2 linked regions of the Drosophila melanogaster genome follow. The protein of the gene in region 1 interacts with the protein of each later gene in a pairwise test. Each region holds a gene or a part of one and is shown on either strand. Other genes may lie near its edges.

The links.
Region 2: the proteins of Damm (region 1) and prd interact in a two-hybrid assay, tested with the Drosophila melanogaster proteins (one large-scale study listed by BioGRID).

What each region holds. Positions count from the first base shown.
Region 1 is NT_033778.4:11,863,358-11,868,267, forward strand, and holds Damm (death associated molecule related to Mch2 caspase), read right to left. Parts: upstream 3,027-4,910; 5' UTR 2,998-3,026; coding exon 2,965-2,997; intron 2,899-2,964; coding exon 2,857-2,898; intron 2,807-2,856; coding exon 2,599-2,806; intron 2,549-2,598; coding exon 2,143-2,548; intron 2,065-2,142; coding exon 1,986-2,064; 3' UTR 1,433-1,985; coding exon of another isoform or gene 1,353-1,432; 3' UTR 1,301-1,352; coding exon of another isoform or gene 1,162-1,300; 3' UTR 1,098-1,161; coding exon of another isoform or gene 1,015-1,097; 3' UTR 950-1,014; coding exon of another isoform or gene 847-949; 3' UTR 755-846; downstream 1-754. Other genes in the region: CG42531 (uncharacterized protein), read left to right, coding at 847-949, 1,015-1,097, 1,162-1,300, 1,353-1,432; CG13185 (uncharacterized protein), read right to left, coding at 4,787-4,910.
Region 2 is NT_033779.5:12,082,340-12,087,669, reverse strand, and holds prd (paired), read left to right. Parts: upstream 1-1,842; 5' UTR 1,843-2,140; coding exon 2,141-2,207; intron 2,208-2,291; exon of another isoform or gene 2,292-2,527; intron 2,528-2,581; coding exon 2,582-4,356; 3' UTR 4,357-4,675; downstream 4,676-5,330. UniProt on the Drosophila melanogaster protein: Pair-rule protein expressed in a segmentally repeating pattern to define the polarity of embryonic segments. Capable of sequence-specific DNA-binding.

The sequences.
Region 1 (4,910 bases):
GCTCTTCAATCCCCGCCAGCAATGCGCGATGCATACAAATTAGCTGGCGCACTGTGCCCATTTCGATTTCGTTTTCGATGCCCAGTGTGGACATAGATTCCGTTTCCGATTCGGGTTCGTATCCGAAATTCGGCTGATGAAAACGAAACTGAAAACTGCACAGGCAAACCAGATCAAAGGGAGGGGCCCGTCGTCGTCACGTTCTGTTTTTGGGTCTTCCCGGCCCCTTTTCGGCCAATATTTGCCAAAAGCATTCGCCTTAATGCTCGATTGCGATGTTCACTTGTAATTTATTATGTAACTCGCACATTGCATTGGTCGGCCAGGGACGGTCATTGGGTTCCATGATCTACACTAAGGTATTTATGGGGCGCCAACTTCATAAAGAGGTTACTAACCCGCGAACAAGAAGTAACCAAATGTGAAATAATGAAAATTAAATTCATTTCTGACATGTAGAATCAACAAGCATTATTTCGGTAAATTATCTACTTATTTTAACGCTGGCAGTCCCAAGTGATATTCGAGTAGTATAAGCACACAATGTGCTTTTTAGCTTAAAAACCCCCAACTCGAAATGAAAGTCATAATGCACTGAAACCAATGCGACTGGAATATTCGCAATTCGCTCACAATATGTCATGATAATACGTATTTAATAGATAAGTAACAGATACGTAGCTTCTATTATTTGGCAAACTCTATAAGAACGGTTTGTTCCCATGTCTTACGTTTTTTTTTTTTTTTTTTTTTTAACAGTACTAGTTGTAATATAAACTGTGGTTCTCTGACAGTAGCTCTGCTTTTCTAATCAGTTTATGGAGTTGTCTAGATAAAAATTGTAAAATGGTGAAAAAATGCTGTTTCTGCATTAAATTGCGCAGAGCCTGCATCATCATAGCCATCGTGGACTTCATCATTAACTTAGTGGTGCTTAACTTGGCGGGTCGTAAGTTTGGGGCTGGCAGATCCATTTAAATGATCACCCTGGTAATGCATCCCACCTTCATCTAGAGGAGTTCATCGCACACATTGAGCAAGCGGTGGCAATCTGCCATTGTATCGGCTGCACATTCCTGCTGGGCGGAGCTTTAATCGTAAGTGCAGCCACTGTTTGGCACCCACTGCAGCCGATCCCATCTCCAAGCTAAACCACTATAGAGATCAACTGTTCTCCTGATGTTCTTCCTGATCACTAGCCTGACCAACTGTATGATCCTGTTTGTGTACTGCATCTACATGCTGATTAAGGAGGAGCGGTACCGCGAGATAATAGTCCCAGGATCTGCAATATATATATGTAAGTTGTTATTTTTGTGAGTTACTGCATCCTTAAAGAACATCCTTTTCAGGCTGTGGTATCTACTTCTGGATTGTCGTCTACTCGTATTATGTCGAAGTCAGAGATCCCGAAGACGTCCTGGAAGTTTAACAGCTTACGCAGAAAGAATAAAATTGCCTTGTGGGTCTGGATTGTGCTATCTGTTTTTCTAGGTGCTTATGATCTCAATAGTATTTAAGTTAATTGTAAAATTCATTCATGATTTTTTGGTGAACTCAAATAAAATTGAGATTATCCCTAGCAAATCGGATTCGAAATTAAAAATATTATAAAAAAAAATCTATTGTACAGTACTTTTTACAATCAACCATGTCAGAGCTTTGTAAATTCCAGGTGCGCTTCGTCACTAAGTTGACTGCCGTCCACAGATATATTTTGTATATTGGTAAATAAAGTTTGATAAATAGGTAAGCGCGTTATAATGCCTACCCACTTGCTTACCCACTTCCTTGAACACTTAACATTATCTCCGGGTTCCGCTTCGATTGATTTATTTAAAGATAAGATATCAACACAGTAAATTACAGTTTGACAAAGTGAAAGTAAATATATGGATCAGTTGAATCTGTCATTTAACTTTACTCTGACCAGAAAGTATCTTAAATATATTTTAAAGAAATTCTTTAATATATAACTCAACTCATTAAGTGTTTTTAGCATAATTTCCAAAATAAAAGGGTTTGTCGAAGTTGTGCGACTCCTCAGAAGGAACTTGTTTCGAACTGAAAAACAGAGAAAAGCAGGAAGTACATCATATAGTTACATCCTGTTGCCACACTGCTTATCCTAGTAAAACTTACCCTGTCATAGTTGACCTTCGTTCGACCTCAGCCTTAACATGCTTAAAGATCGACTGAAAGTCCCTGGTAAGGCCATATTGGTCCATTGCCTCGCACAAGGTTTGTATGAAAACCGAACCATGATTTTCATTGCGATAGCTCAAATAGCCCTCGGAGCAGCTGTAACACTTAATATAGGGTTCGTTGTTCATTTTTTTCGCGTCAGCTCTCAACGGACCCTTGCAGGCTTGAACAATTAAAATTTTTGGCTTGCCAGATAAGGTTGGATTTCTAAAGAGGGGAAAAAGGACGTCATCGTCCAAGTGGTATTCCCTGTGGTCGCATGCCAAGATTTTCTCTTTTCGGTCGCCATGGCTCAAGATAAAGAGGACAAATCCAGCGTCCTGGGTGAATCGTTTTGCAGACCCTTGAAGAAATTCGTTACTAAGAATAAAACCGTTTGCTCATATTTCTTACACTCCTTCACTTTGTTTTTAACGTCCGGCAACGCTGGGTTAGAAATAACTTCAACTCGACATTTTAGGCTTTCGAATGTTTTGCGAAGAGCATTGACATCATTTGAGCTACCCTTTCTGTTCAATTGAGAATCCTGAGGGAACTGCTCATGATTCAGAATGTACACGGCTGGCGGCTTTAGTTTTTCATTTAAATCAAGGCCTTGACCCTAAGGAAAATTCAATGGATGATTTGTGATTTTCTTCAATTTATACTTACTGGTTCAGCGTTGACCCTGTTGCTGTCATATAGTCTCTCAATCTGTATCAATGGATTTTTCGTAAAGACCATTAAGTTTCTTAAAATAATAATAATAACAATACGTACTTTTTGATGTTCTGTTCTTTCGGGCAGATACATGTTTACTGTTCGGCGATATAACGTTAACTGAGTAATGCACAAAAGCAAGTGCAATATTTGTTGTCTTATCAGTCACTATCTGGCCAGCTATATAGCCAACATCCGGATTTGTTCATCGACAAAAAAAGTACAAATTGAGTTACTATTTTCCGATTAAAACTTCCTTTACTGACCTTCTGACTTTATCTACCCGCCACTCGTAGAATAGAAGATAACTCGTCAACAGGCTGTCTTGCCTGTCTTTTGCTGTCTTTTCTCCCGTTGACTCTTTTGGGTTTTCACCACCGACTTCATCTGTGCAAATGTTAAAAGCACAGCCAATTAATTAAGTAAGTAGGTTAATTAAGTAATAAAGTAGGGTAAGAGGGTATAAAAAGGCAACAATCGGCAATACCTTTATAATCGGGAAATAACAATAAACACCCAAGTTGTACTTGCATTTGTCGATGAATATGATTGTGCCATAAATCTAATACGGGCCTTTATGTATTACTCAGTTAAATTTAGATCGGGGAACAAGAAACATGGATCTTTTTCAAGGAATTGAACATCAAAAAGTACGTATTGCTACAAATTGACAGACTATATGATTTAATCAAAAAACTTAAGCCTCCAATTGTGTACATTCTCAACATGAGGAGTTCCCTCAGGATTCTCAATTGAACAAAAGGGGTAGCTCAAATGATGCCAATGCTCTTCGCAAGACATTTGAAAGCCTAAAATGTCCTGTTGAAGTAATTTCTAATCCAGCTTTGGCGGTCGTTAGAAACAAAGTGAAGGAGTGTAAGAAATATGAGCAAACGGTTTTATTCTTAGTAACGAATTTCTTTAAGGGTCTGAAAAACAATTCACCCAGGAGGCTGGATTTATCCTCCTAATCTTGAGCAACAACGAACCCTATTTGAGCTATCGCAATGAAAATCATGGTTCGTTTTTCATACGAACTTTGTGCGAGGCAATGGACCAATATGGCCTTACCAGGGACTTTCGGTCGATCTTTAAGCATGTTGAGTCTGAGGTCGTACGAAGGTCAACTAAGACAGGATAAGTTTTACTAGGATAAGCAGTGTGGCAGCAGGATGTAACTATATGGTGTACTACCAGCTTTTCTCTGTTTTTCAGTTCGAAACAAGTTTGTTCTGAGGAGTTGCACAACTTCGATAAGCCCTTTTATTTTGGAAATTATGTTAAAAACGCTTAATGAGTTATAAACCTATTTCTTTAAAATAAAACCAAGTTACTTTCTGGTCTGTGTAATGTAAAACGACCGATTCAACTGCATACAGCTATATGATCTATAGATAGATAGATATAGATATATTGGTCAAACTGGAATTTATTGTTTACCTTATAGTTGACTAGTAGTACTTGGCTAAGTTCAATTTATTAATTCTACCTATCATTTACCCAACATACTTCAGGTGTAATACTTACCTTCATGTTATATACTCGTAGTTTGCTATCCGAAACTTTTTTTACAGCTTTTCACAACAATGATTGAAGATCAAGGCCCAGTGCGATAACGATATAAGCACCTTAGAATCGTTTAATGTTTATATAATCTAACTTTATACTGTTTACAAAAGTTTAATTGTAAAAAATAAAAAAAGTAACAATTTCAAGTAAATTATAAAAGCATTAGTGAACAATCGTACACTCGGTCACATTTTCAGTTTGTACAAGTTAATATTTACATGTGAAATATAACTAAGTGGGCTAAATATTCAAGCCTGTATTAATATTAATAAGTAAAAGTCACTTCTTTTTATCTCAAGAGTAAATGCAATGATTACTCGCTGTTAACCAACTCGAACCATTGTCTCATGGCTTCGCTGAGCACCAGCGGCAGCTGGTTAAGGTCCCGGACTATCACATAGTACGGAAAAGGAAAACTGTCCAGGTAGGAATTAATG
Region 2 (5,330 bases), on another chromosome or scaffold:
ATTCGTGGAAATGCGAGCGAAGCTGACTTGCAGCGTTTATGGCACCGATGCCTCCTACTGCTTCCTGCATTTCGGCCAGGATTCAGGACCTTTCTCTACCCAAAGTGACGATCCCATAGCAGAATCGCCTTTTTCCAAGCGTTGATAGCGCGAAATTAGCGTTATATGAGTTGCCTATTCAGCGCTCATTGTCCTGCCAAATTGTGAAATCAACGAGGATCAAATCGAATGGTGGGTATCGATGGTGGATTGAGGCGCCTCTCCATTTGATTCGAGTTACATATGTTTGAGGATAATTTAATTATCACAGAATACTTGCTAGTCTGCCATCGTGGCCATGGGCTCAAGGTCATCGGGGATTTTTGCTATCCTGCCAGGCGCAAATGTAGCGATTCCATACTGGGTGCCTGGTACTGCGAACTCCTCCCGTTGGGTTTGCTTAACCAAACGCCCAACGGGCAGCCGCACCGAGCAGTAGAAACCCAACCTTTGTTGCCTTGCGGCCTCCGTTGTCCTTGATCTGCATCTCATCTGGATCTTGCACTCCGGCACTTGGATACGGATCCTGCCGAGGAGCATGCACATTCGTCACATCTCTGTGGGTCAATTTCCTCGCTGGCGTTTCAAACGGAGGTTGGGGTCCATCATTAATTCTTGCAACACTTGGCGCTCTCTATTGTTCGCGGCTTTCAGGTTTTTGTTGTTATCCCACTCGGCGCTTTCTTTTCTTTTCCATCGGTTTTGTTTAACTTCTTTTCGAGGGTCTCTGTTGCGTGAAATTCTACAATTAATCAAACCCACGACGGCCCATAGAAAAGGGTCGAAACTATGGTTATAAGCCGGAGGCAGCGGAGCATAATGGTGGCAAAAGCATGACAAGGATGTGGATGCGGTCATGGTAAGGATATGGATGAAGTCACTTTGTTAAATGTTAAATTGGAAAGTTGGAAACATAAACTGATCAATAGTCGCTGATTTTGTATTCAACTGAATATGTTTCCCTGCATCCAATATGGTGTTATATATTTAATATCTCACTTATTTTGTTTGAAAATAATTTACTATGATCTATCAATAGATAGTTCTAAACACACACTTTTATATTTATATGTAATATACTGATAATTAAAATAAAACCTACAATTTGAAATGAAGAACTTTGTTCACCGTTTCCGAAAGCAATAAATAACTGAGAGAAAAGAGGCTACTCGAGTGGCAATATAAACGAAAGCCATAATTAGGTATCAATAAAGGATATATTACGCTTGTAAAGAGTGTTAAACGCGTACTCGATTGCATTATGGGTTCCAGTGAATATCTAATTTGATTTCCGGGGCCAAGTGGAACCCCAAAGAATATCTCAAGTGAAGAGTGAAAAGCAAACGCCAGGCAGACTGATCTCTCAAGTCCAGTATTCCCTTATCCTTATAACAAGGTATCCATAAAGGATATGTAACGCTTAAATTGTATCGTGCTACTTACGGCATTAATTAATTTCCGGAAACCAGTGAAAGTCGAAACTATGCATAGGATTTGAATGGATGGAATGCCCAGGATCTGGAGCAGAAGTATTGTGGTTCCCTTGTACTCGTATACCCCCCAATCCAAAGTTCTCTGCTCTTCTCCCATTCCACGGTGCTTTTCACAGCTGAGACGCCCCCTGGCGGCGAGCGAGACGGTTGCTAAATGGGTCGAGTGAGCCAGAGCGAGATGCCGTTGTGGAGAGCGCTGCGATTGGTCCGCGTAGTGGTTACCTGCCAAGTGACTGTGGGATATGGCCGACGTCTGGGCCGTGGCTTCACAGAAAGGCAACGATCTTGGCCGACGTTCGGATGGTGAAGTCAGTCAGGCACAGACTGCGCAACGAGCCACACCGCATCTCGTCCTCGTTCTCGTCTTCGCCTTCGCCTCCGTTTCATCTTTCCCATCGAGATTGCGAACTAACAGATACTTAGATATTCGAAGTGCAACTAATCGGTTAATCAATACCTCGCAACGCTTACTTATGACTTTGACAAAGTGTCCAGACATTGTCCAGAACTAAAGTGATATAATCAAGTGATATACGAACTTCGAGACTGAGTTAACACCGGTTTTGTGCCGGGACAAGCTTACGCATCTTGGAGCTCCTCCAGAAACTATGACCGTAACCGCCTTTGCTGCCGCAATGCACAGACCCTTCTTCAATGGATATTCTACCATGCAAGGTGAGTGTCTATCGCTTATATACAACATCCAGCAAAAGTCACTTTGGAATATAAGTCACTTTCACAATGTACTTACTAAATATCAAAGCCTAGTTGATCATTTCCATATATCTTCATTTCTAAACCGACGGCTCAAGATCCCGCTAAAGATCTCAGTTTGGGCCAAGGCCGTCGGCTACTCTCTAATGGCCATTAGTTGCCCGGCGGGAGAGTCGCGCGCCTCTGACCTTCGACCTTAGCTCCGAGTTTCCCGTCTTCCCGGGAAGTCAACTCCGGTCGAAGGTGTCGTAAATCAAGTGACACGCGCTCCGCTCTACCTAGCTAGTATTGGAAAAGCCTCTAAAATTTCCATTTTCTCATCTTCCTCATTCCAGACATGAACAGCGGCCAGGGGCGCGTCAATCAACTAGGTGGAGTTTTCATCAACGGTCGTCCTTTGCCCAACAATATTCGTCTTAAAATCGTCGAGATGGCCGCCGATGGCATTCGGCCCTGTGTGATCTCCAGACAGCTACGTGTGTCCCATGGCTGCGTATCGAAGATCCTGAATCGCTACCAGGAGACTGGCTCCATTAGACCAGGCGTAATTGGTGGCTCCAAGCCGAGGATAGCCACGCCCGAAATCGAGAACCGAATTGAGGAGTACAAGCGCAGTAGCCCGGGCATGTTCTCGTGGGAGATCAGGGAGAAGCTGATCCGCGAGGGTGTCTGCGACAGGAGCACAGCACCATCTGTGTCCGCCATATCGCGCCTGGTGCGCGGCCGAGATGCTCCATTGGACAATGATATGTCTTCTGCCTCTGGATCTCCGGCGGGTGATGGCACCAAAGCATCGAGTTCCTGCGGCTCCGATGTCTCAGGTGGCCATCACAACAACGGCAAGCCCTCCGATGAGGACATCTCTGACTGTGAAAGTGAGCCGGGAATCGCCTTGAAGCGCAAACAGCGCCGCTGCAGGACCACCTTTTCCGCTTCCCAGTTGGACGAACTGGAACGCGCCTTCGAGCGCACCCAATACCCTGATATCTACACCCGTGAGGAGCTGGCCCAGCGCACCAATCTCACGGAGGCACGCATTCAGGTGTGGTTCAGCAATCGGCGTGCTCGTCTCCGCAAGCAGCACACCTCGGTCTCGGGCGGAGCACCTGGCGGAGCAGCTGCCTCAGTGAGCCATGTCGCCGCGTCCAGCTCTTTGCCCAGTGTGGTATCAAGTGTGCCCAGCATGGCTCCGCTGGCCATGATGCCGGGATCCCTGGATCCAGCCACTGTGTACCAGCAGCAATACGATTTCTACGGCAGTCACGCCAACATTTCCGTATCCGCCGCAGCTCCAATGGCCAGTAGTAATCTATCGCCCGGAATTACAACCACGCCACCGCACCACCATCAGTTCTACAATCCCAGCGCTAACACAGCCAGCTACATAATGCCGGGTGAGAATGGCAACACCACACCCACCGGGAACATCATCGTCTCCAGCTATGAGACTCAGTTGGGTTCAGTTTACGGCACCGAAACGGAAACCCACCAGACTATGCCACGCAACGAGAGCCCCAACGAGTCCGTGTCCTCCGCCTTCGGGCAACTGCCACCCACACCCAACAGCCTTTCCGCGGTGGTGAGTGGAGCTGGTGTGACCTCCTCCAGTGGGGCCAACTCGGGAGCCGATCCCTCGCAGTCGCTGGCCAATGCCAGTGCTGGAAGTGAGGAGCTATCGGCTGCCCTGAAAGTGGAATCGGTGGACCTGATCGCGGCCAGTCAGTCGCAGTTGTACGGCGGATGGAGCTCCATGCAGGCACTGCGCCCCAATGCGCCACTTTCGCCGGAGGACTCGCTGAACTCCACCAGCTCGACCAGCCAGGCTCTGGATGTCACCGCCCACCAGATGTTCCATCCGTATCAGCATACGCCGCAGTATGCATCCTATCCGGCACCAGGCCACGCCCATTCGCATCACGGACATCCCCATGCGCCGCATCCGCACGCACATCCGCATCCGCAGTACGCAGGCGCACATCCGCACTATCCGCCGCCCAGTTCGTCGGCGCACTTCATGCCCCAGAACTTCAATGCCGCCGCCTTTCCTTCGCCCTCGAAGGTCAACTACACAACGATGCCGCCACAGCCGTTCTATCCCTCATGGTACTAGAATCAAAGGGACACGGATCCACCACCTACTCCTCCAGGAGCAGGAGCAGGTGTCACCAGATCCATGGTACAAGTCGCCAAAGATGTACATACCCATAGAGCAGGGGACGAAAATATAAATAACATTTTATTTGTGGTGGAGCAGTACAGACATTTTCCGTTTGGGAAAACCGCTGACAGACTCGCTCCTAAACAATAAACATATGTATTAGTTCCAATTCGTAGATGTAAGCCTAGAAAATAGTACCGACTTAGGATTAGAGTTTAAGATGATTAGCCTAAGTAGCAAGTGCTCTTAAATAAAAAAATATATCTATGCTAATTTACAACGTACTCCAATGATCTTTCACTCGAAACGCTGGCCATTCAGCAGCCTTGACACGCTTCCGTACGCAGCGGGAAATGGGAAATCCTCTGGGCCATTAGAGCCTTTTAGTAGCTGCGCATTCCACGGACCTGGCTGGAGATCTCAACACTCGCCCCGGGTGAGATACCGATTCCGATTGCTGCTCTCGGAACTTCAGATCCAGCTGTGAGCGGGTCGCATAGTTTCCGGAAAAAAAGAAGAGAAAACTCCCGAAATGCAAGATGATGATTTGGAACGTCCAAAATAGCGAAGACAACTCCAACCAAGGTGTTAATTGCCCCCTCGATTCCATCGAATAGAGAGTGTTGGTCCCTATGGGACTACGAAGTAAATGGAGTAATTGCCCTCGTTCGGACTTACCTCAAATTCACACCTCATCCTCGGGGATCTGCCTACCCAACCATATTCTACGTGTCCGAGCGATGGCAATTAATGAAGTCATTATCCTTGAATCCTCACCTCCAGACAGCTCAGACAGCCTAACGCACACTGGCTCTATTATTTTAATCTAGAAAAAACTCCTAATCGCTATTTGCTCTATCGCTCTGGCCATCGAGGTGAAAAGTAAATATTGACTTTACAATCGACTTAGGAATCGGAATTGGCAA